Alligator mississippiensis: one gene and its partners. The protein of the gene in region 3 interacts with the protein of the main gene of each other region in a pairwise test. Links are inferred from orthologs where the notes say so. Each region holds a gene or a part of one and is shown on either strand. Other genes may lie near its edges. The genes, in order: STX18, MPHOSPH6, nuclear protein 1 and RAN.

Region 1 (7,930 bases), on a different chromosome or scaffold from region 3:
TCAGTGCCAGGACCTAAATTATATGATGCCTTTTAAAACCTATTTTGCCTTTGGTTGTTGAAACCTGCTTTGCCAATCTCTGTTTCCATCATTGCCAAGACCCTCTATGCCTTAGCTTCTACATCTATTGGAATTTCTCAAATAACAGCCAGTTGTCAGCAGTAATAGATAAGCATCATTCCAATCACAAAGAGTATACCATTTATTGAAAAGTACCTAATAAAGAAAAGCAGTGATTATGGCTATGACTATAAGTACCAGTAAGATGCTGTTTCTGAACACAGGATGGTCTTTACATTTCCACAGTCTAAAACCATAAAAGATGCAGCTTAATAACATAAATAGCAACAGGTCTTATTCAAAGCCTGCTGATATCAGTGGAAAGGATGACTTCCTTGAGCTTTGGATCAGATTCCAGAAGCATAAGAAAAATTCACAGAAACATTTCTATTATTTATCTTTTTAGTAATACTTTAATGTCAGTTAAACTACAAATGTCTCCTCTATAGTGCTGAGCAGTTACTCACACAAGTAACCCCAGTCTGTGATAGGATTATCTTTTGTGAAAATTCTTCTACAAGAGCAAAACAAAGTTCTTTGGGTAAATGTAGTATCTTTTATTAGACCAACTAAATACAGTAAAAGCTTTGTTATCTGGCATGAGTGGGGTAAGGAGGGTGCCAGTTATGTAAAAATTTTGGTTATCTGGGCTTGCACATGGCAGTGGCAGCAGCGTTGGGTGGTGGATGGCAGCAGTGGCCATTACATACAAACTCCTCCCCACCCCCATGTCCAGCTATCCAGATGGCATCTGTGCAGCCTACAGAGGGAAGCTGCTACCCTTGCCCCCACTCAAGAAATACCTGATGCTCATGCCAGATAATAGAGTATTCCAGCTGGTAAAATGCCAGTTAATTCAACTTTTACTGTAGTTTGAAAAATTGTTCTTTACAAGCTTTTGGGCACAAACACCCTTTTTCAGGCATAGGCAGAGTCTACTGGTGTTTGTGTGCTCTCTAAACCAATATGTCCTTACAATAATAATATTAATATGCTAATATGTCTATAAAAGTAAGGACTCCATAGTGTGGCCCAACGTAAGCAGTTCTGCTCATTTTAATGGGGCTATTTGTGTAGGAAGGCACAATTTAGTGAAAAAGTGGCAGAAATTATGGCCCATTAGAAGCATCTTAACTTGGCAACAGCAGATTTGTGTGTCAAAAATGTCTACAAAGAGTTCCGTCCTGGGGGTGACAGTATGATCAATGAGACATTTCTGGAATTCCATTAAGTATGCTTATTTTATTCTTAGCAAAGCAAAGGAAGGTGGAAACAGGCAATTTTAAAGGACCATACCTGAAAATGTCTAATATACCATGTGTGAATTCCAGGCTTTATTAAATACATATTTTGCTAAAGTAGCCCCATACTATATTGCTCTTAAAGGCATTTGGCTGCTAGTTCACACACATACCGGTAGCATTCATGGAATGATAAATCTAGTTTCCCTTGGCACCCACCTGATTAATACCTTAAATATTTTCTCACTATAAATCCAGCACCGAGGACAGTGACTTTAACTGCATATTCTTTTTTTTACTGAAAATACTTATTAGTGTCACACTAAACCCTCCGTCTAGAATGACAAATAGAGTAATAAGTAAAACAACATGAATGAAAAGTAAAATAGCTAAAATTACTAATAGCATAATTATGGAGGAGGCACTAATGATGCTTTAGTTAGGGTTATGTTCAACTTTTAAACTAAAGCAGGATCGTAATTAGTAACAGAAAAAACCCTGACTCTTTTTATGCAGCTATGAAGAGCCTGGATTAAGTTCAGTTTTACTATGGAGAGAGGCAGTATTTTGACACCTGTGTTGAAGTTTTACACTTAGGGGACTCCCTGTGGGACTGTGTCAGAAGTGGTCTGGGGAATTAGAGCTGAATTTAAAGAACACATTGAGATTCCAGGCAATACACCACTTCCACACTCCCTTCTCTCTTCAGTGTAAAAACATTGCTTGGAGGCTGGAACTACAAAACCCACATACACAGCTAGTAGAGTTGATATTAAGGCTGAAAACCAAGGTGAAGGTGAAGGGAATCTCTAACCAAGCTGTTATTGCAAGTCATCCAATGAGTGGGTGGGAAGGGAGGAGGGTCAAATGGCACAGCTTTTGCTCGGGGCTCCTATGAGTCTGTGTGGCAGCTAGGTAAGAATCCATATGGCTCTTGGTCTAGAAGATCCTCATATACAAAGCATAGCTACTTGTTCATGTGGTGGTAGGAATGAATTTGCTCCAGCAATATTAATAATAACAAAGGTTATTTAAAGCAGTCTTCTGACTTCCCACTAAATTGCTATAAACACTATATTGCAATTCATGGGGCATTTTACTTTTGCACCATCCTGATACCAACGTGACTCTTCTGTTGAATGCTAACAGATCTCCAGATCAGATTTCCAGGCCAATCCAGTCCAGTGGAAATATTTTAAACATAACTTATTTCTCAGCTATATTCATAGTCCTGAAGAACATGCATACAATTCCTTCTTCCAAGGCCAGTCCAACACCATGCCTGGTTCCCAAATAATAATTCTACCATAATGGACTAATCCAGAGGTATTCAACCCTGGCTTGTGGGCCAGGTCCAGAGGTACTCAGCCCTGGCCTGGAGCTGTGTCATCTGGCCTGCACGGCTCCCCATGGATCTGGAAATTTGGTGATGCGGAAATGGTGCCTACTCCCCTGCTGTCAAATTTCTGAACCCATGGGAAGCTCCACAGTCCTACACACTAGATCATGCATGAAGGATGATGTGTGTCCTGATCCTGGCATGCAGGAGTGATGCGGGGTCCAATCTCAGTGCGTAAGGTTGGGCAGTTGGCATGAAGTGCCAAGGTGTGCAAGGCTCAATTCCAGCATGCAAATTAGAGGTGCACTGATACATTGGTGCAATAACAGATCGGCACCGATATAAAGAAAATTGAGTGTATCAGAAATTGGCCTGATGTGGCTGATAAATTGGCTGATAAATGCCCATGCATGCGTGCAGCTACAGCGCAGCACATAGGCAGCCAGGAGCACAGCTCGGCAACTTGGAGAGCTGCATGCAGCTGGTAAGTCTGTTGCAGTAGAAGGGGTGGGGGAGGGAAAGGGTGTGGGGGCAGGGGGAACACAGATCAAGGCCCCAGTGGTGAGAGAGGGAGAGAAGCTGGGCCTGGGGCTGGAGCAGGCACTGCCCAGCCAGCGCAGGACAGGGTGCAGGGCAGAGCTGGGGTTTGTCCATGTTGACACTGGATTTGACCCAGCACCTATACCTTTGTTTTGGGCGGGCACAACCCTCAGAACGACCACACCACCTGCCAGTTGATAATAGGCTAATTTATTGATACAGAGTAAGAACAAAAAAGCATCAATACCAACAATCAAACAATTCTGTATCTACCAGTCCTAGGGCTGTCATCAAAGTACATCTGGTCAGGATGGAGGCTCCACTCTGAGGCTCTTTCTTGGGTGTCAGCAGTCTGGAAGTGGGATGCTGAGGCCCACAGCGCCCCTCCAGTGGGCACAAGCTGGGCTACTGGTATGCCCTCAGTCCATGGTGGCCTTCGGGACCCTTCCCGGGGGCCAGGGATGGGGACCCCTTTCAGGGAGCAAAATGGGGAGGGACGGGAAAAAGGGAGGGACCCTTTGTTAATCGCAAGTCTCTGCTTTTGTATTCTCCTTCCCCCTTGATGACTCCTCATGACACTTCATTTGTTGAACACCACTGAACTAACCAACACTAATCCACGTATATCCCCAACACTGAATCTTATACCTCTTCACAAGATAAGGAAAAGAACTGGGAAGACCATATCCAACAGCGCCACCTGGTGATGTCTGCCATAAACAAATAGGACAGCTGACAAGTGACGGGTAGATATCCATCCCTAGTCAGCTCACCCTGTCAATTTAAAAGTTTTGCTAGCATAACTGCATGGGCAAGGGACATGATTTCCATTTGTAACATAGCTATTTGATTAAAAAAAACAAACCCAAAAACAAAAACAAAAACCCAAAGAAAAGAGACTGTAGTACAGAGGCAGTTATAGAGGCAGAAAGCGCTTTTGCTGATAAAGCTTAATTCACCTTCAATGAGTAAAAAAACTTTGAACAAAAATGTTTGTGCAAATAGACGCACCTGCATCTGCACTAGGAGGGTGTTTGCCCAGTACCGGTAAGCTGGCAAAGCTTTTGAGTGCAAGCAAGGCCCAAATTCAGGATGTGGCTCTGCTGGCCGAACCTGGTAGCATTGTCATGCTGGACAGGAGCATGAAAAGATCACCCTCTGTGGCTGGTGCAGCTTGGCTGTAAATGGCCTGGGCATGGTCTCTGCAGGGAACTTGTCGTTCAAGGCAGCTGGCACAGCTCTGCCAGCCAGGTCAGCGCCCTACCAGCAAGGATGGCCGAGGATGATCTGGCAGCAGCCAGGCCCCAGCCTTTCCCCTTTATACGCTATCTAAACCAAAAGCCCAGCGCGGGTGCACGGGGCGCTTGGTGCTGGAGACGTGCGAGCGCCGCCGGCCGAGGAGCCGGAGCGCCGGGCACTCGAGTCAGCCCGGGGTCGAGCCTCCGGGTCCCAGACACTGCCGGTGCCGGCTCTCCGATACCCCTCGCTCCCGGGACCTGCGGCCTCGCCCGCCGCTCCGCCGCCTGAGGGCTGCTGGTGCCGGGGGGGCAGCGGCTGGACCGGGCCTGAGCGGGGCACGCGACATGAGACGAGGCCTGGTTAGCCAGGGCGGCGCCCCGGGGGTCCCGTGCGGGGTGGGTGCCGCTGCGGGGCCTGCGCCGGCTGGGCGGGATCCCGGGGGCGGTGCCTGCCCCTCCCCGCCGGGGCCGCGCGAGGCGGCGGAACGGGCGCGCGGGGCGGCGTTGCGCGGGGACGAGTGTGCGGCGCGCACCGGCTGCCAGCGCGGCGGCGGCGGCGGCGGGCGGGGCCGCCATGGCCGTGGACATCACGCTGCTGTTCAAGGCCAGCGTGAAGACGGTGAAGACCCGCAACAAGGCGCTGGGGCTGCCGGCGGGGGACGGCGCCCGCGACGAGCTGCTGCGCCGGGGGGGGCCGCGGCCCCGCAGCGACTTCTCCGCCCGCGCCCGCGACGTGGTGAGTGCGGGCCGGGAAAGGGCCTCGCGGGCCCCCGGGCGCGGCGGGAATGGGGACGCGGCCCCTTTAAGCCCGGCCCCGCCCCTGGCGCGGAGGCCACCGGGCTCGGCGGGGCGGTGACGTCACCGGGGCGACCTGGCACTGCTGCCCCGCCCCCCGCCGGCCCGGCCGCCTCCCTACCGGGTGGGCGCGAAACCTCTCCGCGCACCGTCTGGCTGCACACACAGCCCTGCCACACCGGCACACGCAGACATGCACAAAACCCCTCCACGCACCCTGCCTGCCACGCACACACACACCCAGAACCCTGCCACACCTGCACGCGCACACACACCCTGCAACACATGCGCACACAGACATGCACAAAACCTCACTGCGCACCCTGCCCGCCAGACACACACCCCCCGCTGCGCGCACACTGCCACTCGTACACCCCGCCACACACAAAATCCCACTTTGCACTCACCCAACACCCGTGCACACTCACCCACAAAACCCTGCTGTATATGCGCGTGCGTGCACACACACCTTGCCACACACACACAAAACCCTGCACACATGCACACACACAAACGAGCACAAACCCTGCCACATGCGTGCGCACACAGACGGGCACAAGACCCTGCCACATGCATGTGCACACCCCCCCCCACATCGTGCCACACATGCACAGACACAGACAAGCACAAATCCCTGCCACACGCACACGACTACCATGAGCACACACCCTGCCACACATGGACACGTGCACACATACAGACATGCACAAAACCTTGGTGCACGTACACACACAGACACACACAAAACCTTGCCACACATGCACACATACGCACAAAACCCTGCTGCACACACACACACAGACACGCACAAAACCCTGCCACATGTATATACACAGATGCACAAAACCCTGCCACACACACACACGCCCACCACCACACACTCACCCTACCACACTCACTTTCCCATCCACCCACCCACCCTTGCAAAGCTAATCATCACAACTGATTGGATCGCTGTTGTCTATGCAGGCCTGGTGTGCCCCCCCAACACGTGCACTGCAATCGCATGCTTCTTCCCATGTGACTCTACCTTGCTCATGGCACCAAAGGGAATGTGCCTCGTGTCTAGCGAGTGGTTCCTGCTGTATTTATTGCACATGATTCAAATCCTGTGTTAAAGACAGAATGATTAATTCCCTCATTGGCTTAGTTTTTTGCTGCTTGTTCCTGCAGTATCTGAATGCAAGGACAAAGCATTAACACTTGAAGGTATTATCCTCATTTAAAGGTGAGGAACTGGGGTATAAAAAGATGAAGGGCCTAAGAATATACTAATTTTGAGTGTTAAGTATTAGATATCTGCTTTTTCAAGTCAGGCCGCCATAACATGAAGTTTACAAAATCGGGGGACATCTGTAAAAGGTTGGTTTAAATTAGGGCTGTCAGTTAATCATGATTAGTGCATTAATCGTTGGTGTTAATTTTTTTAACGTGTTAATCGTGCACGTGGTTTTGGAGCCTGCGCCTCGGCTATGCTCTGCTCCCATCACTGCTGCCTCCAAGCCGCCCCATGGGCAGTGGTGGCAGAGCAGAGGACCACAGGGCAGCTGCAGCAGGGGAGAGAAGCACACACAGAAATGCAGCCGCAGCCTGCACTCAGCCAGGAAAGTAGCTTGGTGGCGTGTGGAGTAGCACCCACATGTAGAGTGGAGTAGCACCCAGCAGGCAAGTCTGTGAAGGGGGAGGAGGGGGACAGATTGGGGCTCCCATGGTGAGGGAGAGAGTGGGGCAGGGGCGGGGGTGAATGGGTCCCTGAGGCCAGGTCATGGGGCAGAGCCATGGCTCATCCATGGGAACTGGGGGTGGCGGGGACTCCTCCTGCTGCAATCACCCTGGGGGTGGCACAGGGGCCATGTGCCCCCCGGATTTATGTGTGGGGTGGAGGCGGGTTGCCGCTGCAGACGAGCTCTGCACCCCACTGCCTTTGCCCCAGAAGCTGCGCACTGGCAATGTTGTGTCCCCTACCTGGCTGGCAGCAGGAGGCACAGCATGGTGTATCATGGCTCCCAGGATAACGGCAGCAGAGCATGGAGCGCAGCGCATAGCAGCAGCCCACCTCCACCCCAGCCACAAATCCAGGGGGCACGTGCTTCCCATGCTTCCCCCAGGGGTGCGCACAGTGGCGGGAGCAGCGCCCCCCCACGCCTCTGGACAAGCTGTGGCTATGTCCCATAACCCACCCCAGCCCTGGGGCCCCATTCACCCCAGCCCCTGCACATGCCTCTGCCCCACTCACTTCCTCACCATGGGAGCCTCGATCTGCCACCCCCATGCCCGTTCCCTCCCCCATGCCCCTTGCCCTCCACAGATTTACCTGCAGTGTGGTGTCTCTGTGTCTGTCTTCCCCTCACCCCCAAACCACAGCCCCCTCAGCCTGGCTGCTGCCCCTCACTCCTGACCCACAGCACCTCACATCCTGCCCGGGTGTGTGATTCATAGATTCATAGATTCATAGATGTTAGGATCGGAAGGGACCTCCATAGATCATCGAGTCTGACCCCCTGCATAAGCAGGAAAGAGTGCTGGGTCTAGATGACCCTAGCTAGATGCTCATCTAACCTCCTCTTGAAGACCCCCAGGGTAGGGGAGAGCACCACCTCCCTTGGCAGCCCGTTCCAGACCTTGGCCACTCGAACTGTGAAGAAGTTCTTCCTAATGTCCAGTCTAAATCTGCTCTCTGCTAGCTTGTGGCCATTATTTCTTGTAACCCCCGGGGG
Region 2 (7,742 bases), on a different chromosome or scaffold from region 3:
GATCCTTTTTGGGCAGCTTGCATTCTGTTAAACCACACACATCCGTTTCATTTCTAGTTGCTACTACTCAGACTTTGCAGGGTACTGTTCTCAAGTACCATTTTAGTGAAAGTCCTGAGACCATCTGAAGCTGCCTCCAGGGGGAAGAGCTGTCAAAAACTTTGACAGTTGGGGAAAAATCTACATTTTACAGGCAGCAAATAATCCAGCACTAAGAACTCCTCCACAGCACAAATTCTTCCAGGCAGGAATAAGCAGAATATGCCTCTGATCTTTTCCCAGTTGGACTTGGCCAACAGATATGGCAACAGGCGCCACACTGCACTTAGTGTTTATTAGTGAAATGCCTTAATTATAACATTACTATTGCTACATAGTGTTGCTAGTAGGTGCCTATTACTGTTCAAAAACAGTAACCTTTCACATGGACAGCGCAACTTTTTGCATGGCATAACTGCATTAAACTGAAAAGCCCTTTCAAGTTTCTTCTTGCTATTCAGCTATTAAGGAAGACAGACTGGTCATGGTTTTCTGAGATCTGTTAGTTATGGAAAACAGTTTGCTTTCTTAGCAGAGTTCACTCCACATGGATTACGGGTGGCCAGTCTGTGGCACATTGCAGATCGGTGAGGAATAGGAGGAGCAGATGGGGCAAAAAGCAGTAAGCAAAGCAGCAAATCAGGCAGAGAGGACTGGGCAAGTAAAGGAGCTGATCAGGAAGGGAGGAGCTCAGGGCTGGCAGTAGGAAGCAGAGCAGCAGACTGGGCAGGGGAAGGGGATGGGAGAGGCAGGCCTCCCAAAAAAGGTTGGCTCGCTCCGACAGATGATCGAACGGAGACTGCAAAATTCATCTCGCCACCCTGAAAAGAACAACACAAACCCAAATACAGCGTGGAGACATGGAGCACGTGAGCAAGCCAGTGCAAATGGCACAACTTAAATGAAGCAAACAAGCCATGAAGGCCCTGCTATATGGTCATAAATATTTAATGAATATTTATATTTTTAAAAAATTTATGGCAATTCAACTTCAATGTTGTTCTCCAGAAATAAAGAGATCATCAATCATGCCAGTATGTACTCTACAGAATTATGAGTTGTATTACAAGATGTGAACCAGAGTCCATTAGCCACTGAGCTGAGACTAATTTCACTCTGGACTTGACGTTGGAGTCTCAATTCCAAGGGCACTAGCTAGGTCAGTCTTTTAATAACATCTCTCTTTTGTGCTATATATTTTAGGAATTGGGGAAAATGGTTAAAAAAAAAATAAATCAAGACCACTGTAGGATATTCCACGAGCAATCAAAGTAAAAACAAACAGAAATAACGAAAGCAGGGATAATGCAGAGCTAGGATACACTCCACGCTAAAAAGATTCGCTCCAAATAAGGCACCTAATGGCCTATCTTAAGTTCAAAATGCAATGAAATAAAGAAGTCTAAATATTTCTGTTCATCACAGAGAGGCTGGCAGAGCTCTGACTGCACAGAAACCTCCTGGGGGTTGAAAACAAATTTTCAAACGCGCTTCAGGAAAGAAACCTTACTTTGCTTAGCGTGAGATTTGCCGAGATCACGAAGATAATTTGAAGTATGTTCTTGGACCAAAACAGCAGGCGCCTACAGTTTACAAAACCTCAAGACTTCCTCCGGGAATATAAGGAGGCAGCTATAGAGCGACAAATGCAGATAACATGGCACTTGCGAGTCGACGCCGTTAGCGCTGCTGTTTCATCGGGGTTATTATAGTCGCTCATTTCGTGGCCGCGTCGCCAAACCTCTGTCATTGCTCGAGTCATTACCAGGACAGACCGGTGGGTTTTTAGCCAAATCCCCTAAGGCCATTACTAGCTGGTTTATTATAGTGTACGGATCAAGATGTTTCTAGGGAAGTAGCATTAAAATACTGAAGAGTGCTGGATGCCCCAGCGAGGAAAAGTAAAGGCAAAACAACCTGCCGTTATCGTTGTCTTAAAAGGTCACTTTAAAAACAAATCCAGTATAATTAGAAGTGACCTGAATGGAAACAGATACCACCTCGGTCGTGCGGCCAGGCGAGGACTCCACGTATAAGGAAACGGTAACGCCAAGAAAAATAAAAATAAGGCTCTGTTCACCTCACGGCCGGCGGGGGAAACATGCCAACCGCTGCTGTTGAAGCGCAGCGTTGCTCTCAGCAAGGACACGGCCCGCGGCATTTCCAGGGGTCGGGGCTGGCGCACGTGTGGTTCGGCTACGTCGCCGGGTTTGGTCGCCGGACCACACGCGCTCCAGCCCCGAACTCATCCCGTCTGCGCGACTCGAACACAAATAACAGGCCGATGGGTCAGAACGATATCACCCATCTTCAGTCCTGACCCCGCGCTCGGATCCGCTCGCTTCCCAGCGGAGTCGTGGGTCGGCGGGAAGACGCAAGAGGCCAACAACACCTAACTGGGAGCGAGTCTGACGCCAAGTCCACCCGACACCCGCCGGGGACTGAACGCCCCACGCAGTCAGCACCGCGCAGCTGTGCCCCGGGCGCGAGGGGTGCCGCGTCCGTGCGGCCCCTCGACCGCCGCTCCCCGCCCGCAGCCAGGAGCGCTTTGAAGCCTTCCTGAAGAGGCTCGTGCCCATTTTTTGGGGTTGCTTTTACAAGACATGTCTGCAAGCCGAGTCCACAACCCGCACGTGGCAGACATCCTCCAGATTCGGGTATTTCCACCGTTTTGGTGGCAGGGCTCAGGCGGGAGGACCCCGTGCTGCCATCAGCACGTGGCAGAGCCCCTCACCCTCCGCCTGAGGGGAGGATTTTTCACCCCGTGTTGGAGGAGGAGGAAGGGAGGATCCTTCCACTCCATGTCATGGACACGGTGTCAGTCACAGCGCAGCCAACCCCCGCCATCGCGGCCCACCTTCATGCGCAGCAGGTTCTTAGACAGCCGCGGCTTCCCCTCGCCCGCCATCGCCATGACCGCCGGCCCCGCGCGCAGGCCGCGCCCCGTCCCCGCCCTCGCGTGCGCCGCGGCCCCGCCCGCGCCCCGCCCCGCTCGCACTCCAGCCCCCGGCGCCGCCGCTGCGCCAGGCCGCGGGTCATGATGGAGGACGGGGAGGGGCGGCTCAGCGCTATGATGTTTACAGTGAGCGTCTCAGGATTATGAGCTATGGGGGGGGGGGTTTCAATTATGATTGAAAGAGGAGTTTTAGGTGCGTGAATCATGAGGAGGGGTGATTTATAGCGGGGGTCTCCAAGCCGTGACTCGTAGCGGGGAAGGGTCTCGGGCCGTCGGCGAGGCGGAGCCAAGCCAGCCTGGGGTTGGCTCCCCCCGCCTCCAATTTTATATACTTCGATAATAATTTTATATATAATTTGGCTCCTCGTGTCGCTGATATTCATGAATTTAGACCAACACGGCTACAACCTGAACCCGCGTTCATTCAATGACACCCGGGAAGATTTGTTTCCACCTCCCAGTGCAGTTTTCCACTTTGATTTGTTTGAAAGTATGTTTCCGGGTTAGAGAAAAGCCTCAAGTCGCACATCCTCGCGTGTCCTGAAAATAAAAGCAGACATGTTCTGTATTGATGATTCAAAAAAAAAAAAAAAAAAAAAAGCATCCTGATCTGCGTGACTGAAAGGGTCTGAAAATTAAAAATCGAAGAATTGATTATTTAAAAAAAAAAAAAGGGATCTTTTGTTTTCTCATTTTTTTTGGGCCTGATTCATAATTTTTTTATGAAGCCTGGCAGTACTCCCTTAGGCCGCCAGGCTGAGCCCTTGAGAAGCAGTAGCTTGCAAAAAAAAAATCCTGGAGGAGACTTGTTACCTGACCTCTACATAAGCGAGCGCAGTGGCGTTCAACACATACTCAGCATCTTGATGCTTACTGTTGTAAGTACAAAAGGGGGGAAAAAAAAGAGAACGAGTTTGCTTTGTTTGAAACAGTCAGGACGTGGGGCACAAGATGTCTCTCAGAAGTGTAGCCACATAAGATTTGCAAAGTGCCTGGATGGGGGACCTGAGGACTGTGCACAAAGGTTTGAGTTTTGGCCAGGATTGGAGTGCACAAAATAGGAAGGAAGGGTCAAGGAAGTGTAAAAGGGGTCTTCACAGTGAAAAAGGAGGAGGAAAATAATTATCCACTACCCAGGCGCTTTTTCCTAGGCAACAGAGAAAAGCAGTCTCAAATGAAAAAACAACAGCAACCACTATGATGAGCCAGAGTAGAGCTGGATGTGTATAACCTGCATTTCAAATGTGCTGAGCAGTTGAATTGCAACTCTGCTTTCAAGCTACAAATGCATTTATTTTTTCCAAATGAGAATAGCTCACTCAAGCAAACAAGGGAGGGGAAATCCAAGTAATGAAAGATTCAACAGTAAACAGATAAAACACTTCACTTCTTAGGCGGTGGAGGGTTCTCCCAGGACTGCCAATGTCAAATCAAACTTGTAATTAACATTCTTTAAAAGATAGCCTCCCTTTAAACAACAGGAAAACTGTTAGTTCTTAAATGATCCTAATGAATTGTTTCTGTGCTCAGCTGGGTCCAGTTTGAGACAACGCAGAGGTTACCTACTTGGTAATAGTATTCCTTGACATATAAAGCATGCATTTATATTTCCAAAATTATTGTGATTCGAGTACAATATATGGATTTCAAGCAGAATACTGACCAGTGAATTGATTGGGGTTCCCTTCAAAATACCTTTGAATTCTGGAGTGCCTTTCTTAGGTCTTAGGATATTTTATACTGCTTTTTTGTCCCAGTAAAATTAAAACATTTAAGAGAGCAGAGTCAAGAATTTGTGCAAAACTTTTCAAGTATATTTTACAAGGATATAATGCATGTGCCTTAGAAGAAGGAAATGAAACTTAGAGGTTTAGGTGATGCTGACTTTGCAAACCTTAAAGGATAATGTCCCAAGAACCGTGTGTTGCATACGGCTGTCGTCCCCTAGATGCAGCTGGATCTGCTTAAATGCATCCACCATGTAAAAAACAGAAAATAGCATGAGTGGTAGAGGCCTGAACTTTTGAGACAGAAGGATTTAGCTTTTCTCTCTGTTACTGCCATGAAGTCCTGAGTGACTAATGTATACAGTTTAGTGACAATGAAGAAGAACCTAGTTGGTCAGGGAGTTGTTACACTAGATGTATAAATGCGTAAACTACTAGTCTTTGTTTGCCACGTATTCTGCTATGTACCTAATCTGCAGTAGATTGCAGCTCTCAGTTTGAAAGCTTACCTTGTTAGCTCAGACTCCAGAATCGTTTTTTAGTTTTGGAAGTGCCCACTTCAAGCCCTGGTGTTTGCTGAGATGGCAGTTCGTTATACAGGTACTTCTGAGCCTCATAAACCCCAGTCCTTTCCTTTGCGTATCCCATGGGTGTTAGTGGGAATTTGGGAATAGGACACAAAGATGAGGTATTAAGTCCTATATAGGAGTTAGGTTCATACAGTTATGAGGCCACAGACTCGTAAGTGCAATTTCATATTCTCAAGTGTTCGTGTTGAACCTGAGTTTCATTCTTGATGGTCTCGTGTAACCCTGCACCCTAAGATACGTTTTGAACATCGACACGATCGATCGAACGATCTTTGGCACCAAATGAGGCAAAGTGTCACAAAATGCCAAAGAGATGTGTTTATCTGAGGAAATGTCTGTTCTCTGTCTGGGAAATGCTAGCTTCTAAATGTGTCTGACAGCCCAGATGGTAGGATGGCTATTTATGTGTAAAAAATACAGTAATTCCTCTAGATAGTAGTAGCCTCAGAATAGTAGCTTCTCAATTTCCATGTCTTTCCATAGTCGTGGTGCTCTAAAGGCCTTTTATTCACTTGGCATGTCGATAAACATGGACACTTGGTCCCATGTTGCAATGGATTGACTATTTCCTAATACGAGGAGTCAGAGCAGAGAGACTGGCCAAAGAGCCCTTTGCAAAATATGCATCTCTTTGCGTGCCTTAAAATTATCTAGAGGGCCCTAACTTTCTGGATTTGCCATAATTACAATTAAAAGAGAAAAGGGAAATACTACAATCCAGTTTTAACTATAAAAAAGAAATCCGGCAGTAATGGTGATAGTTTGCAATTTCCCAGGTCAATAAATAGCTCCCTTGACTTTAATAAACATTGATGCTGCAGGCTTGTTCCAGCGTGATTGAACCTTTTTATAGTTCAGCCACTCACATTGTATGAAAGGCTGTTTTTTCTCCTTTTTTTTTTTCCAACAGGGTTGGTTCTGATTGATTAAATTGTCATTTTTTGAGTTAGTTGCTGAATTATAACATGGTATTTTTAACAATGTGATTTGTTTAAAGAGACAGCTTTTTGATATGGCAAACCAGCTGAGAATGTTTAAGAAGTAAAAGGAACTTTGACTCACTCCATGTTCTCAGCCTTTCATCAAAAAAGAACCCCAAAACAACGTGGAAGTTGTGGCACAAATGGAAGGTACACCAGGTTCAAATTCACTACTATATTTCACCATCAGCCTCATTGTTACATAATACTTGTGTACAGTTGCTATTCCATAGTGTCTGAGCACCTCACCATCTTTAACGTGCTTAATCTCTCTCTGGATCAGGGAAGTACTTTTAAGCCACACTTGACAGATGAGCAGTGGAAGCAGGAAGACTTGTTAAAACGCCTTGTCTGGTTGGTGACAAAGCAGAGAAGTGAGCGTAAGAGTATGTCAAACATATGCCGAACGGAGACACTCCACTATGTCCCAGATGTGAAATAGCTGAGCAACCTTAGTTCAGTACATATATCTACTCAGCTGAGTCCAAAGTTAGTACTTTAATCACTTTAATGTTCTACTAGGCAGAAAGTTTCAGCCCAAAATTTCACAATTGAGACAAGTAGGCAAGTATTTCATTTTACGTGGGGAGGACGAAACAAACGAGATGAAAAGATTTCCCCTAGACTGCATTCTGGTCAGTAGCGTTCAGATAGAGAGATTGACTGCATCAGATGGACAAAAAATGTTTTTGCATCAAAAAGATAAGAATTTCTGAACACCTCCATATTCCATTGAATTCACCTACTGGAGAGAGTGTCTGGTGTCTCTTAGACTGTACCTTCTTCTAAAGCAAGCTATCAAAGTTCATCATTTTGGTGCAAAGAAAACCATGTCCATGTGACGCAGACATTTTTTGTTCTCACCACCTGCTACACATTTTCTCCATATGGCTAGCTTTTTTGGTTCCAGGTCTTTGCACAATGTATTTTCCATGGCACCTGATTTATACCAGCGTTCCACGGGCAGAAATGCTGTAAATGCCTAGGATTCAAAATGGCAAAATACTAGTTTGGAATATGTTTGTAAAGAATTGGCAGCAACACTGTCTAGCTACAGCTTGTAACTGGGCATATTCTGCATAGGAGTTACAATGCTCATGGGGGAGAGACAATCTAATGGTTTGAGCAAGGGAGGCCTTAGGTGTCGTTCACCACTATGTTACTTCTTCTGGACTGAAATAATTACTTACAGCACTGAAATCACAATTTTCAAAGGCAGAAAGGAATCTCTACAATAGTAAATTAGTGAATACAAATGCGTTTTAGGCTTCAGACTCTAACTCTGCCATGGATTTGCAATGTCATTTTTTATTATTCCCTTAAACTCACTTTGTCTCAGTTCCATTATATAAACTGAGATATCCATCTAAACACACTGTTTTAAAATCTTTGGGTGAAGCGTGCTCTATAAGTGCACAGAATACATTACCATCATGAAACCACTGTTTTA
Region 3 (7,581 bases):
TAGTGCCAACAGGGCGGCCATTTTGCCACGGCTCCTCCGGCCAACCTAACAGGCAGTCCCTGGGATGGGGGGTACCTACCCGGGTGGGGGGCCCATGGATCAGGGCACGGTAGAAGCACGTGGTCTGGGGGTAGAGCGCCAGCACCAGCTGGTCCTTCTGGAATAGGGCCTCAGGGTCCGTCTCCGGATTGGCCTTCCACTGCGGCAGCGGGATGATGCGTCGTCGGCTCAGCGTGTGACGTCTGTGGGGGCGGGGCGGGGCAGGGCAGGCAAAAGGGGGCAGGGTCAGGCCAAGGTAGGCCCTGCCCCCGCCCCTCCCCACTTTTGGAGGAGTCACTTACTCCTTTCCTTCTTCATCAATGTCATCCACCTCATACCTGTGGACAAGGAGAACCATAGAGTTGCCTTCTTTAGCTGGATAGAGGCCCCCCCTCCGAAGGGCCAGGGTCACAGAGACAGCCTTTCTGGCTAGTTAGAATGGGCCCCTGGGGGACCTAGCACCATAGAGCCAGCCTCCTTGTCTGCCTAGAGTGGCCCCTGGGGGTTCTAATACCATAGTCAGCCATCTTAACTGGCTAGAGTGGCCTTCTGGCATGCCAGGGCTATAAGGACAGCCCTTCTGGCTGGCTGCAGCGGGCTGTTGAGGACCCAGAACCATAGACACAGCCTCCTTAGCTGGCTAGTGGCCCGGGGGGGGGCGGGTCCTATTACCATAATCATCCACCTTAACTGGGGAGTGGTCCCCTGGAAGTGCTAGCATAGAGACAGCCCTTCTGGCTGGCTAGAATGTGCCCCTGGAGTCTCAGCCCTTCTTGACTGCCTAGAGTGTCCCCTGGGAGGACCATAGTACCATAGAGTCACCCACCTTAGCTGCCTAGACTGGCCTCCTAGAAAACTGGGGTCATAGAGAGAGCCCTGCTACAGCCGACTCCTGAAGCGCCAGGGTCAGAGCTGCCCCACACTGACTGTCTAGAATGCCCCTTCGGGGTGCAGGGGCCACAGAGACTTCCCTCTAGCTAGCTAGAGTGGACCCGGGGGTGGGTGTTCCAGCACCAGATAATCACCATCTTGGCTGGCTAGTGGGCCCGAGGTCATCGGGGGACCACAGAATTGCCCTCCTGGATGGCTAGAGGGGCCCCCGGGGGAGGAGGGGGGGTCCAGCACCATAGAGTCACCATTTTGCCCAGCCAGAGGAACCCCCTAGTGAGGTAATAGAGATGCCGTTCCCTCTTGGCTGGCTAGAGTGGCCCCTAGGACACCCAGTATCATAGTGTCATCCCTCCCCCCGCCCCACCCCCCATGGCTGCCTAGAGTGACTATCTTGGAGGAGCCATCACCCTGGCAGCCATATTAGAAGTCTTCCAATCCGTCCTCCTTCACCCTGGTGCCCATATTGGATGGGCCCTGGACCTGGCAACCATATTGGAAGCCCTCCAACCCCCCTCCCTCGCCATCCTGGCAGCCAGGCTGGCAAGTCCCACCCCATGGTGGACATCTTGGACTCCCCTCCACTCACTTGTTGGTGGCGTGGCTGTAACTAACAACCTCTGCCAGGATCCACTGCTCATCCCCGTCCACAGCTTTGACCCGGGCGGCCACCTTGTCCCCGGGCTTGGCTACGTAGTCACTGGCAGCTGGGATGGCGCCGCACAAAGGTGGGGGCCTGCAAGCAGGGGGCAGTTAGGGGTGTGGGGGAGGGCTATGAACCCCGCCCCCCAGGGCAGGGGGAAGCAGCAAGAGGTGGGGGGCTCACTTCTCGCCGGGCTTTCCAATCCAGAGAGGCAGCGTCATGGCCGATTGCTGGAGGAGGGTCATGAGGACCCCCCGGCGCATGGTCTTACGTGGCGGCTCCGAGTCGTTGTAGAGTCCCGCGATCTTCGCCGCTGTTGTGGGGAGGGCAAAAGAAAAGAGTGAGGTTTCTGGGTCCTCCCCGTCCCTGGATATCCACGTTGCACAGGACTGTGGGAAACAGGGCCGGTGGAGAGACCTATGTACCAGGGGCTTCTGGGAGACCCCCACAATATCCCCAGGGGTTTCTGGGAGGTCTGTGCCCAGCCACCCCGCATCCCCTGTCCCTCCCCAAAGAATTTTTGGATATCCCAGGCCCTCTCCCACCCTGGAGACCCCAAGACCTCAAGGGATTCTGGCAGTTCCCCCAGAGACCCCTACAGCTGAGGTCCCAGGGGATGCTGGGAAGTCTGTGTCCCCTTGTCAGACCCCAGGGGATTCTGGGAGGTATCAGGTCCCAAGGGATACTGGGAGTTCCAGGCTTCTATACCCTCCAGAGACCCCCACTAGCCCCGGGGGAGAATGCCCCTGTCCAACCACTTCTTGTCAGGCCCCAGGGGATTCTGGGAGTCCCGGGGGAGAGGAGGGGATTAGGTATTGCTTACCAATGCGTCTCTCCTCCAGCAAGGACTTGATCTCGGCGATCTTGTCCAGTGCCTTGCGCAGGATGCTGTGTGGGAGGGGGGGCAGAAAGGGGGGACATTAGTGACCGCTAGTGGGGGGGGGGGGATTTGGGGTGGGGGTGGGGCAAGGGGAGGCAAACTTACTTGCACTCAGCCTCTGCATCCGCCTTGGCCGTGGTGTAAAGCCCCCGCAGCTTGGTGCGGTAATAGGGGGAGACTGCAGGGGGGTGGGGGGGTGCAGTTCAGAACCCAGGCGTCCGGCCCCCCCCAATACTTGATTGAACCCGGGGGCCCGCCCCCCCACCTCGTGTTACGCTGAACCCTGGCGTACAGGCTCCGTCTCCCCCCCGCAATCGGAGATCAAACCCAGGCGTCCAGGGCCAGACCCATCGAAGGAGAAACCCAGGGGTCCGGGCTGGGCTGTAACCCCTCCCCCACCCCCACCCCCACCCCTGGGGGATTCTGGGAAGCACCCAGGCGTGCGGGGCGGGGGTCTCACTCTTATTCTCCGTTTGCATCCGCTCGTGGGTCTTCTGGATGTTCACCAGGTTGTGCTCGCTGCGGGAACGCTCCTCCTGCGGGGGGCGGGGTTACCAGGGCTCCGCCCCCTCGCCAGCAGCCTCTGGGGTAGCCCGTAGGAGGCGGGGATAGGACAACCCTCCCCACACACCTCCCCCTGCCCCCCAGCTCCTTCCTCTGCCTGCCCCAGGGAGGCGGCCGCACACCGCCTGCCCCAGAGGATGCTGGGAAAGGCCCCCCCCACCCCAGAGGATGCTGGGAAAGGCCCCCGCCACCCCAGAGGATGCTGGGAAGCTCACCTGGGTCTGCTTGATGAGCTGGTGCAGCTCCCCCAGCAGCTCCGCGATGCGCGAGTCGGCCGACACCAGCGCCATGGCCGCCGGGAGAGGGCGGGGCCTGCGGGGCGCCCGGCGGGAAGGTTTAGTCGGGGGGGCGGCTAGCTGGATTCCCACAATGCCCTGCGGTGGGGAGGAGAGTTGCTCACGCTCCCACAATGCCTTGGGGCTGGAGGGGGGACTTATGGCCTATCTCCCACAATGCCCTGGGGCTGCGGTGCCAGTAAGCTACTCTCCCACAATGCCTTGGGGCTGAGGGGGAGTCAAGGACATGCTCCCACAGTGGGGGGTTTGCTACTTTCCCACAATGCCCTGGGACAGGGAGCAGTTGGCCACACTCCCACAATGCCATGTGGCCAGAGGGCAGGTTGTCCATACTCCCACAATGCCTCGGGACTGGTGGGGTTGGCAACACTCCCACAATGCCCTGGGACCGGGGGGAGGGGGGGTCCAAGAAGCCGAATACGCATGCGCACTCCCATCACCCGCGTCCCCTCCAAGCTGCGCATGCGCATTCACCTGCTTACCATGACACCCCCTTCGCGCCCCCCCACCGCCCATTTCCGGCCCCGCTTGCCTGCCCCCCGGTCGCCCCCAGGCCCAGACGCACCGCGGGGCCCTCCGGGCGGGACCGGACCTGAAGCGGCGGCGAAGGAGCGGCTCCACGTTCCCAGGGCGGCAGCGGGAGGCGGGGCCCAACTACGCTTGCGCGGAGCCAAGCTCGCGAGGCAGCCTGGGACTTGCAGTCCCTGAGGAAGCGCTTTGAGGTTGCGCATGCGCACAGTGCCACCAGGGCCCACGCAGAACGACAGCGCATGCGCATCGCGCATGTTGCCCTTCCAGTCTCTTGCGCCATAGAGCCGGGGTCTCCCCGGGGCTCCTGGGAGTTGTAGTTTTCAGCTCCCCGGCCCCTCCCGCTCCTGAAACCCCGACCCCCAGCGCTCAGCAACAGCGGTGCCCCTCACTCCCGACCTGCAGCCGCTCCCCCACGTGCAGCATCGCCCATCCTGCGCCGACACCCTGCCCAAAATAGCCCCCCCTTCCCCGTACCCCTGTAATATGGGGGGTCCCCCCTTTCCTGGGGGGTGGGAGCAGGGGATTCTGGGAGCCCGGCCCCCTGGGTTGTCTGATGGGGGAGCCCCACAAACTCTTGTGGGCAGAAGGGGCTGCGGGGGGGGCACCCAGTTAATGATTCCCAGCTCAGGCGCCTCTCTATCAGGCCTGGCAATAAGGGGGGGGGAGGGCTGGGGGGGGGGGAGGGCTCAGCCGAGTCCTGACTCAGTCTCCCCTCGTGACCCGAGGTTGTTTTTCTCCCCATGTGTACCTTGGCCGGGGGCCGGCGGGGCGGGCGGGAGTGGGGGCACCGTAGGGGGGTGCGGGCTCGGCGTGGGGGCACCGCCGTGGGGAGCGATGCAGGTCAGCAGTGGGGCCCCCCTGTGCCTTTAAGGTTCTGGGGGTGGGGCAGGAACGGGGGGGGGGGGGGGTGCCTGGGGGGGAGACGGATGATGCAATGGGGGCGGGGCCTGGTCTATAAAGGGGGGGCAGGACCCAGCGAGACACAAACAGCCCCAGGAGACAGCCGGACGCAGCCCCTGCTGCACAGACCGACGCCCCCAGGGACCCCCAGCTCGAGGACCCCCGACCCCGCCTGCAATAGGCCATGGCCTCGGCCCGGCTTGATGCCGCCCGCCTGGTCCCGACGCCCTTTGAAGGCCGGTACCTGGACGCCTGCGACTACTACAGCCTGACCGAGCGCTACGCGGGTGAGGACCCAGCGTCCGGGCCCGGCCCCCCCTGCCCCGATCCCTGGCTATAAAGTCTGGCTATAAAGTCCGAAGTCACTAGATGGCAGCCAGGCTCCAGGCGTCCGGCTCCCGCCCCTCTGCTCCGCGCTCCCCTCCCAGAGCACCCAGGAGTGGGGGCACCGCTGTGGGGGGCTGCGGGGCGGGAGCGGGGGCACTGCTGTGGGGGGCTGCGGGGCGGGGGCGGGGGCACTGGTGCAGGGAGCTGCGGGTGGGAGTGGGGGACACCCAACTCTGACCCCTCCCCATTTGTGTCCCCCCCCCCGCCATCCCAGTGCCTGATGGGAGAGGCCGGAAAGGGCGTACCAAGCGGGAGGCAGCAGCCCACACGAACCGGCCCAGCCCAGCTGGGCACGAGCGCAAGTTGGCCACCAAGCTGCAGCGATCGGAGCGGCGCCGGGCGGGCAAGGAGTGAGCGGAGCCCTGCCCACAGGTGAGTCAAGATGGCAGCTGCCCGCAGGAACGAGCGGGGCGTGAACCGAGATGGCCGCCATGGGGGATGGGAATGGGGGAGTGAGCAGGAGTCAAGATGGCCGCCACGGGGCCTGGCATTAGGGATGGGAGCGGGAACCAAGATGGCAGCTCTTGGGCACGGCAGTGGGGAAAGAGTTGGGAACCAAGATGGCCGCCACTGGGTGCAGAAATAGTGAGGTGAGCAGCAAGCAAGATGGCTGCCACAAGGCAAGGCTGTGGGAAGCGGGCCAGGCATCAGGATGGCTGCCATTAGGCATGGAAACAGGTGGGAGTAGAAGTCAATATGTCCGCCTTTGGGCATGGCAGGGGGCTGGAAGTAATAACCAAGATGGCCACCATTAGGCATGGGCCAGGAGTCAAGATGGCCACCATAAGGCATGGCAGTGGAGCTAAGATGGCCATCATCACCCACAGCAATGGGGAACAGCACTGGGGTGGGCACAAAATGGTGGTAATGGGGCCCAAGATGGCCGCCAGCCACAACGCCAGGCTGGATGGGGGATGGCAGGGAACAAGATGGCCGACACTAACCCCACCCCCCTCGTTAGCTCAGAGCCTCGTTAGCGAACCCGGTTCCGGACCCCATGGCACACGGCGACACGGAGACGGACACACGGACAGACACACCAAGATGGCTGCCACCCATTGGGCCTGGTGGCCATGTTCTCGCTATTGCCACGGTGACCTCAGTGACCCTGTTGTCAAGGCGACCCTTTTGACCCCCCCATGGCAACCAGGTTTAACCTGTTGCCAGGGTGGCCATTTTGAACCCCCCCTTTGGAAGTCCTAGACACCCCATTACCAAGATGGCCATTTTGAATTTTCCCTGCAGCCACCATCTTGGGCCCATTGCCAGGGTGGCCATATTGAACCCCTCTGATGGCAACCATGTTCATCCCATTGCCATGGCAACCGTGGTGACCCTGTTGCTAAGGTAGCCATTTTGACCACCCCCTATAGGAACCAAACTCCACCCCTTTCTTGGGCAACCCCATTGACCCTCCTCATGGTAGTCATATTGATACCATCACCATGGTGACCATGTTGACACTCCCCCCCCCGCTGCCCAGGCAGCCATACTGAACCATCCCCATTTCAGCCATGTTCACTTTGTTGCCAAGACGGCCATATTGGCCCCCTGCCCATAGCAACCATGCTCAACACCTTTGTCTGGGCAGCCATTTTGAGCCCTTGGCAAAGGCGGCCTATTGAAACCATTGCCAAGACAACCAGTGGAACCCCTTGCAAAAGGCAGCCACATTGAAACCATCACCAAGGCAACCAGTGGAAACTCTTGGCCTAGGCGGCCATATTGAAACCATCGCCAGGACAACCAGTGAACCCACCCCGACTCGGCAGCCATGTTGGATACAGGGGAACCTCAGGTCCCAGGGGGCTCAGAGTGGTCAAAAAGGGGTGAGGAAAGGCACGGGGTGGGTAGCTCTGTAGCTGCCCCTCCTCTGGCCCCGGCACTGTTGCGGGGTGAAAAATAGTCAATAAAATGGGGGGGAGTTCTGAAGAAAATTCATGTTTCTTGAGACTTCTTCAGGAATGAGAGGGGCCAAGGGATTGTGGGTAGTGGAGGGGTTAGCCCCCCAATTGAGGGCTACACACACACACATTTGGCAGGAGGTCAACTCAAATGCCTTTATTCCCCCCACAGGCCGGATGCCCGTTGTCTCATTACTGCTAACGAACCTTGGAAGTCACCCTAATTAGACTCCCTCCCTGCCAGGGATGTGTGTACAGGGTTTGAAGGGGAAGGCCCTGAGGGAAGGAGATCGGTGGGTTGGGTTGGGCTAGGGGTGGGGTCATTTGTTAGAGTTGGGTTGGTGTCATTGGTTGGCTGGGTTAGGTTTGGTGTCCTTGCTTAGGATTGGGTTGCCATTATTGGTAGGTGGAGCTATGGATGGGATCATTTGTTGGGATCACCTAAGGGTCATTGATGGGTCAGGTGGACCCATCCCATCACCCCCTCTCTCCTCCTGGCCCCTCCCCGCTTTGTGGCCCCAGTCCATGTGGTTATGGGGCTGAAGGACC
Region 4 (7,641 bases), on a different chromosome or scaffold from region 3:
ACTCCAGCTGCGGCCTCACCAAGGCCGAGTACAAGGGGAGAATGACGTCCCGGGATTTGCTTGAGAAGCATCTATGGATGCAAGCCAGCGTTTTGGTCACTTTACTAGCTGCAGCATTGCACTGCAGGCTCATGTTCATCTTGTGGTCAATGATGACCCCCAAGTCTCTTTCTTCCATAGTGCTAGCCAGCGTAGCACTGCCAAGCCTATAAGGATGCTGCGGGTTTTTCTTCCCAAGGTGGAGAACCTTGCATTTATCGGTGTTGAACACCATCAGATTCTCGTCCGCCCACTTGCTGAGCCTGTCCAGGTCAGCCTGGATCACCCGCCTGTCTTCTGGTGTGGATGCTTTGCCCCAAAGTTTGGTGTCATCGGCGAACTTGGCCAGTCCGCTTCTGACTCCAGTGTCCACATCATTAATGAAGATGTGGAATAGTATGGGTCCAAGGACAGAGCCTTGGGGGACCCCACTGGTCACAGGACACCATGATGAGTGACTTCCATCGATTACTACCCTCTGGGTCTGAACACGGAGCCAAATTTCCAGCCAGTGGATCGTGGTGGACCCAACGCAACAATTGGCCAGTTTCACCAAGAGGTGATCATGAGATACCAGATCGAAGGCTTTTTTGAAGTCAAGATATAGGACATCAATCTCTTCTCCCTTGTCCAGGTGATAGGTCACCTGGTCGTAGAAGGAAATTAGATTGGTCAAGCAAGACCTACCCGCGACAAACCCATGCTGGCTATCCCTTAAGATGTTGGCGTCGGCCAGTCCATTAAGGATGGCCTCCTTAATAAACTTTTCTAAGATCTTCCCTGGGATAGAAGTCAGGCTGATGGGCCTATAGTTTGCCGGATCCACTTTCCTCCTTTTCTTGAAGATAGGCACCACATTGGCCTTTTTCCAGTCTTCAGGCACTACACCAGAGCGCCGAGAGTTTTCAAAGATCCGTGCTAGAGGCTGGGCAATGATGCTCGCCAGCTCCTTGAGTACCCTGGGGTGTAGATTGTCAGGGCCGGCTGACTTGAAGGTATCCAGCTTCTCAAGATGTTCCTTCATGAGGTCAGCATTAATGGAGGGCAGGGGATCACCCTCACCCGGAATTCCCTGTCCCGTAGCGGGCATGGGCGTCCCATGGGACTGTTGAAAGACCGATGCAAAGTACCCATTTAATAGGTTGGCTTTTTCCTGGGCATCAGTTGTCAGTTGCCCCATCTGGTTCAGCAGGGGTCCAACGTTGCCCCTGCTTTTCCTCCGGCTCCCCACATATCTGAAAAAGGACTTTTTATTGTCCTTGATGCTCGAAGCTAGTTGGAGTTCAGTTGCAGCCTTGGCTTTCCTGGTATGCTCCCTGCAGGACCGGACCAGTGCAGAATAATCCTCCTTGCAGGTGACTCCCATCCTCCATCCTTTGTAGGCCTTTCTTTTTAGCCTCAGGAGGTCTGCCAGGTCCCTGGAGAGCCAGGGGGGCTGCTGTGCCCTCTTGCTGCCTTTCCTCCGAGATGGAATAGACTTAGTTTGTGCATTGAGGATCGCTCCCTTGAGAAGCAACCACTCTTCTTGAACTCCCCTCTCCCTGTGGTCACGGTCCCTTAGGGCCTCACTGGCAAGCCTCCTGAGCTTGTCAAAGTCGGCCTTCCTGAAGTCAAGGACTTCCGTGTTGCTGACTGACTTGCCAGCTTTTTGACGGATGGTGAAGGTGATCAGCTCGTGGTTGCTGTCACCCAGCTTCCCATCGATCACTAGGTCGCCGACTAGGTCATCCCCAGTAGCCAGTACCAGGTCGAGCAGCGCTTTGCCTCTCGTTGGCCCATAGACTTCTTGAGTCAGGTAGAGGTCATCCATGAGAGGAAGCTTTGCGACTGCTCAGATTTTGCTGAGCGATCCTCCCACGAGATGTCTGGGTAATTGAAGTCACCCATGACAACCATGGTCCTGGAGCATTGGCTGATGGAAACAGCCAATCAGAGTGCTCCAAGTGTGGGGGAGCGTTGTCATGATTTCAAAGCCATGCCGAGGATTGGACAGAGGGTGGGGGAGCTGAGGGCAACAGCATTGGCCTTGGCTCTCCCACCCTGCTCCCTGCAAGTCGCAGAAGAGTGGCAGCATGGGTCGTTAGGTGAGGGCGCTCCATCCCAGCCCCACCCCCCCATCATTCTTGATGGGCAATTGGCTAGTTAATTATAATAAGTACTTTGGAAGGGATGTTTATGCCTTAAGATTTAAATCAATATTAGAGGATGAAACCTCATATGTGAAGGGCAGATTATCCTGCAGCTGTCCTCCAGGGTTTTCAGTAAAATCGTTTTATACATTCCTTTGAGACGTCTGGAATTGGCCCCTTTTAGACTAGATGAACCTCAGGTCTGATCCATGAGGAGAAACGTTATGTTCCTATTCATTGACAAAGGGGCTCCTTAGAATCCGCGCTACAACATCCCTTCCTGTTCGTCAGCAAGTCTTGCGTGTTCTCTACCTCTCAACCTGTATGATTGGATGAAGTCGCATTTACTTTTTTCAGTTTATTATTCCAAGAAATATAGTTGTGATTTTTACTGTGTATTTTGTTAATTAAGATCAAGTACTGCACTTGATATGTAAAGCATTGTAAAGTATTTAATAAGTTTAACTAGCTTATTTAATTACAATGTGACTATTATGCCCGTAGTAAAATCAGTTAATTATTTCAGAACAATATTTGGGGAATCTTACAAATGGCTTTTAACCAATATAAAGTGATCGACCAAAATATTTCCTGGAAGTATCTGTATCCTTGTCAAAAGCTGCAACACTTCAGTTAGTTTATAAGGTGCATCTCCACCCTGACTTCTGCCTGACTTTAGGCCAACAGGGCTACTACTTCTCTTAAGTCTACAGTAATGTGTTTTATGGTCTCAGCTCTCGGAAGAAAGGTTTGATTTAATGATCTCATTACAGGGGAAGAGAAATATGTAAAGTTGTGATATTTTACCAAAAGAAAACGGAAATATTTTTCATTCGTAGTGGAGTTTTATAGCACACAAAAGCTGCAACGGACTGCAAGGTCTTTTTTCAGATCTTGATTTTAAACATAGTGAACATCATAGGGTTAATAAGAAGTAGCAGACTATGTTTGTGCAGCCCAAGGGATCTGAAATACTTTAAAACTTCATAGGATCACAGGAAAGTAGGGCTGGAAGGGACATCACAAGGTCATCTAGTCCGGCCTCCTATTCAAAGCAGAAACACTCCTGACTAAACCATCCCAGCCAAGTGTCTGTCTAACTTGCCCTTGAAAACTTCCAAGGATGAAGATGCCACAATTTCTCTCGGCAGCCTGTGCCAGTGCTTGGCCACCCACAGTGCCAGAAAATCCCGACTAATCTGTACATTTTCCCTGCTGCATTTCGAGGCGTTGCTCCCAGTCCTGTCCCCTAGGGCAGCAGCTCTCAACATTTTGCACCTTACGTCCCACCAACCACTTTGTCAAAAAACCCTGGTCCCACCGCGATAAAAACAAAACCCCACTTTTTTTCCCCAAGAAGTGTATTTTTACGTCTACACGCACTTTAGGGACATTAAAAATTGCAATAATTTTGTTGAGAAAAGTCCCACCTACACATGGGCAGCGGTCACAGGGAGCTCCTGCAGGCAGCCGCGGCAGTGTCAGTGTCAGTGGGGGTGGCAAGCACGGACCAGCCGCCAGCGACCACCCGCAGACACCACCAGCAGCGGCCAATAGCAATCCACGACCGCCTACAGACGCCGCTGCCGGTGGCGGGCAGCGACTGCCCACCGGTGCTGCTAGCGGCGGTGGCGGCAGCCGATCGCAGGGGTGCACCACCCATCTCAGGGGGTGCACATGCACCCTGTGCACCCTCTACACGTCGCCTGTGACCTTCACGTCCCGCCGGTTGAAACGCTGCCCTCGGGTCAAGGAGAAAAGCTCGTCTCTCTGCCCCCTCTAGGTGCCCTGCAGGCGTTATGCACCCCCCCCCTCAGTTTTCTGGGACAAAAGTTTCCTAAACCAACTTGACCCGAATCAGTTAAATCTGTTACCACGTGCAACCAGGTTAATCTTAAACCCGTTTCAGCCATTTTGAAGCTGGGTGCCGCGCACGGAGCTGCTGTTCGGTTTAGGGTGGCATCGCGGAGGACCGTCCGGTTGTCCATACGAACCCGGACGCCTTGACATCCTCTTATTTACCTCCCCTAACCCAAAGCCTAATTCTTCCAGTCTCTTTCCCTCAGTTTCCTGTCATTCGTGCCCTGTCCCCCCTAGCTTGTTGTGCGACATCTCCTATCGATTGCATTGCTTCGTGCCCCCCTTCCCCAACGGAGGGAAATCAAACGAGCACGGGGGGCACAACCACAACGGACTGAAGGAGCATCTTGAAGGACAAGGAGGGAGGCCATGAGAGGAGACGACTGGGGGGGTCTGAGGAGCCCGCCGAAATAAGAGGGCGAAAGGATCCAGTTCTTTTTACTGATTGTACTCTCCCACCCCGCCGCCCTGAGGGGGCTTCACGGCGGGCTCCCCGCGCGCGGGAAAAACTGAGGGGGAGAAGGGGGCGGGGCGCGACCAACGAGCGCCAGGCGGCGGTTGGGCTGGGCGCGCGGCGCATGCGCGGGGCGGGCGCCGGTCACGTGAGCGCGGCCCCTCCCTCGCCCGCCCTGTGTCCGCGCCGCGTCGCTCTCCGGGTATTTGAATCGCGCTTCCGCCATCTTCTTCCCTGCGTCCAGTCACGGAGCCCAGCGCCGCGGACAGACGCCTCGGCAAGGTAACGGCCGACCCCCTGCGGCGGGCGGGCGGGAGCGCGGATGGGGCTGCGGCGGGGCCTAGTGCGGCCTGCGCCGCGGTGAGGGGGAGGAGTGGGGGAGGGGGAGGGAAGGCGGCTCGGCTCGGCACGGCTGTGCTGTGCTCAGTCATGGTGGCGGGAGGCCCGCGGGGGCGCGGCCGCCATTGCCGGGCTGTGGGGCGGGAGGAGGATGAATGGGCCCGGCCGGACAGGCGCGGCGGAAGGGGCGGGCGCGGCGCACGCGGTCGGGCCTCCATCGCCCGCCGCCTCACTCCGCTTCCGTCCCCTCCCGCAGACCCAGCATGGCCGCCCAGGGAGAGCCCCAAGTGCAGTTTAAGGTAAGGAGCCGCCTCTCCCCCGCCCGCCCGGGGCCACCTGCTCTCTTCCCTGAGCTTTTTATCTTTTCGGGCGGAGGGGGAGGGGTACGGCTCTTTTCTTTTTCCTAGCTCTTCGTTTTCATTCACGTTTTCCATCCGCGGCCGGGGGGACGCCGCAGTGCTCCTCACGCTCCTGGCTCGCCGGATGTAGACGTCTCCGTCGCGCTCCTCGTAACCCGGAGGAGTTTAAATCGGGAGGTCCCGCGCGAGCCGCGGAGGAGTCTCAATCGCGTTTCTTTTTTTTCTTTAACCCATTTTAAATTAAGGTGCCCCTTGGGAGGCTGCGAAAGCCACGGAGGAGTCCCGATCGTGTTTCTTTTTCTAACCCACTTTCAATTTGCGGCCTTCGAGGGACATCCTGGAGCTGCCGGACGAGTCTTGATCACGTTCCTCATTTTACATCGGGGCGCCCTGTGGAAAGCGGCGCAGGAGTCTTGATCGCGCTCCTTTTTTAACGCGAATCAGTTAAAGTTTAACATCTCCGTGGCTTTTTGTGGCTTTCCATGGGGCATCTTTAATGGTTTGTGGTTTTGAAAAAAAGAATATGAATCAAGACTTGTCCAGAGGAAGGTTACAAAAGCCATGGAGGGGTCTTGATTGACGTTTTTTTAACCCGAATAATTTTAAAGATCTTTGGTAGAAGGGTACAAGAGCCGCGATCGTCTTGATCGCGTTCCTTTTTTTAACACAAGCCAATTAAAAAGATGTCTCGTGAAAGGCTACAAAAGCCATGGAGACCTTTAATTTTAATGGTTCACCTTAAAAAAAGGAACACGATGGAGATGATCATGGCTTTTGTAGCTTTCCACGAGACACGAGTCATCTTTTTAACTTCAGTGTTAGAAAAGGAATGGAAAATCAAGACTTCTCCATAGCTTTTTGTGGCCTTCCACAGGGCAAGCCATGATTTTTTGGCGCACTTTTTTTTTTTTTTATCATAAACCTTTAAAACTAAGATGTCCAGCGGAAGGCTGTAAAAGCCATGGAAAAATCTCGATTTGAGTTAAGCTCTCCACGGCTTTTGTAGCCTTCCATGGGACAAGTCTTGATTTACGTTCCTTTTTAACCTGAATAATTTTAAGATGTGCCGTGGAAGCCAGAAGTCTGTTAATGGAGCTCATCCTGATGCCTTTCATGATTCAAGCTAAAACAAAAGATACAATAGCTGACACGGACCAGTCTAGCACTACAGTATTTCAGTGCTTAACCCACATTGACGAACCCAGCCAATTTCTGGGGTTTTTTTGTTTTGTTTTGGTTTTTGTTTTTTTTAAGAGAAGAAAAAATTGTTCTAACATGCATTCTTCAGGCTAATAAAAATAGTTTGGAAGTGCTAGTCACTGACCTGTCTGCCCTTTAATCTGGAGTTTCATAGACATTAGGGCTGAAAGGGACCTTGCAAGATCATTGGGTCCAGCCCCCTGCCCAAGGGGCAGGAAGTCAGCTGGGGTCAAAGGATCCCAGCATATAAGCATCCAAGTATTTCTTAAGAGTCCAGAGTAGGTGCTTGTACCACCCTGGGGGGAGTCTATTCCAGGCCTTGGGGGCTCAGGCAGTAAATAAGTTTTTCCTTCTGTCCAGCCTAAAACGGTCTTGCATGAGTTTGTGATCTTGTCATCCCTAGCGCTCTGGTGAACAGGTGTCCCCCCAGGTCATGATGCACAACCCTTCAGTACTTAGAGGCTGCCACCAAGTCACCCTTGGATACTTAGTAATGCATAAGTGGCAGAACCTAATTTAAGACTAGAATATGACTTCATGTAACAAGCACACAACACTAAAGCCATTCTAAGAAGTAAAATATATTAGTCAGGCCATATTTGGGAGCTCCTTAAGTGAGTGTCTAACTAACCTTCCTTGCCTAGAACAACTTGTAGGGCCTAGAGTTGTAATTTTAAAAAAACTACCTAAAATTGACTGATGCCTCAGTAGTTTACAGGAAGCTCCTAAAACGTGTTGCCTTCATCTGTGTTTTGAAATCTTTCAACAGCTTGTCTTAGTTGGTGATGGTGGTACCGGCAAAACAACATTTGTAAAACGTCATTTGACTGGTGAATTTGAAAAGAAGTATGTAGGTATGTTTAAACATTTGCATGGAGAATCCTAGTGCTAGTTTAGTTTAAAACACTGTTGGCAGGCTTTTTAAAGTGGAAATGTTTTATTGCAGCAACACTGGGTGTTGAAGTCCATCCTCTGGTGTTTCACACTAACAGAGGGCCTATTAAATTTAATGTATGGGACACGGCTGGCCAGGAGAAGTTTGGTGGCCTGCGAGATGGCTACTATATTCAGGGTAAGTTTTACAAACACTATTCATTAGCTTTGCAGCAGACTTCTAGGTATTTTGTCATCTTTGACAGCTTTGCAAAGTTGCTTGTGCAGTGGACCATTGCTTATGCATTTGGTGTGACATAATAGTAACGGCATTTAAGTTGACTTGCTCTTCAAAACAGTGCAAGACTTCTCGAGGCAGACTTTGCCC

Evidence for each region.
Region 1: the proteins of nuclear protein 1 (region 3) and STX18 interact in a two-hybrid assay, tested with the Homo sapiens proteins (2 studies listed by BioGRID and IntAct). The link is inferred for Alligator mississippiensis from reciprocal best matches to the Homo sapiens genes NUPR1 and STX18.
Region 2: the proteins of nuclear protein 1 (region 3) and MPHOSPH6 interact in a two-hybrid assay, tested with the Homo sapiens proteins (2 studies listed by BioGRID and IntAct). The link is inferred for Alligator mississippiensis from reciprocal best matches to the Homo sapiens genes NUPR1 and MPHOSPH6.
Region 4: the proteins of nuclear protein 1 (region 3) and RAN interact in a two-hybrid assay, tested with the Homo sapiens proteins (2 studies listed by BioGRID and IntAct). The link is inferred for Alligator mississippiensis from reciprocal best matches to the Homo sapiens genes NUPR1 and RAN.

What each region holds. Positions count from the first base shown.
Region 1 is NC_081825.1:28,609,209-28,617,138, forward strand, and holds the start of STX18 (syntaxin-18), read left to right. Parts: upstream 1-4,925; 5' UTR 4,926-4,992; coding exon 4,993-5,154; intron 5,155-7,930. UniProt on the Homo sapiens protein: Syntaxin that may be involved in targeting and fusion of Golgi-derived retrograde transport vesicles with the ER.
Region 2 is NC_081833.1:70,633,819-70,641,560, forward strand, and holds the start of MPHOSPH6 (M-phase phosphoprotein 6), read right to left. Parts: upstream 3,004-7,742; 5' UTR 2,954-3,003; coding exon 2,897-2,953; intron 1-2,896. UniProt on the Homo sapiens protein: RNA-binding protein that associates with the RNA exosome complex. Involved in the 3'-processing of the 7S pre-RNA to the mature 5.8S rRNA and play a role in recruiting the RNA exosome complex to pre-rRNA; this function may include C1D.
Region 3 is NC_081830.1:821,138-828,718, reverse strand, and holds nuclear protein 1, read left to right. Parts: upstream 1-4,804; 5' UTR 4,805-4,925; coding exon 4,926-5,028; intron 5,029-5,342; coding exon 5,343-5,482; 3' UTR 5,483-5,500; intron 5,501-6,089; exon of another isoform or gene 6,090-6,094; 3' UTR 6,095-7,065; downstream 7,066-7,581. Other genes in the region: SGF29 (SAGA-associated factor 29), read right to left, coding at 80-242, 342-377, 1,517-1,663, 1,754-1,883, 2,394-2,458, 2,556-2,628, 2,911-2,986, 3,230-3,388 and 1 more. UniProt on the Homo sapiens protein: Transcription regulator that converts stress signals into a program of gene expression that empowers cells with resistance to the stress induced by a change in their microenvironment.
Region 4 is NC_081833.1:9,575,014-9,582,654, forward strand, and holds the start of RAN (GTP-binding nuclear protein Ran), read left to right. Parts: upstream 1-4,638; 5' UTR 4,639-4,764; intron 4,765-5,077; 5' UTR 5,078-5,084; coding exon 5,085-5,120; intron 5,121-7,149; coding exon 7,150-7,234; intron 7,235-7,326; coding exon 7,327-7,452; intron 7,453-7,641. UniProt on the Homo sapiens protein: GTPase involved in nucleocytoplasmic transport, participating both to the import and the export from the nucleus of proteins and RNAs. Switches between a cytoplasmic GDP- and a nuclear GTP-bound state by nucleotide exchange and GTP hydrolysis.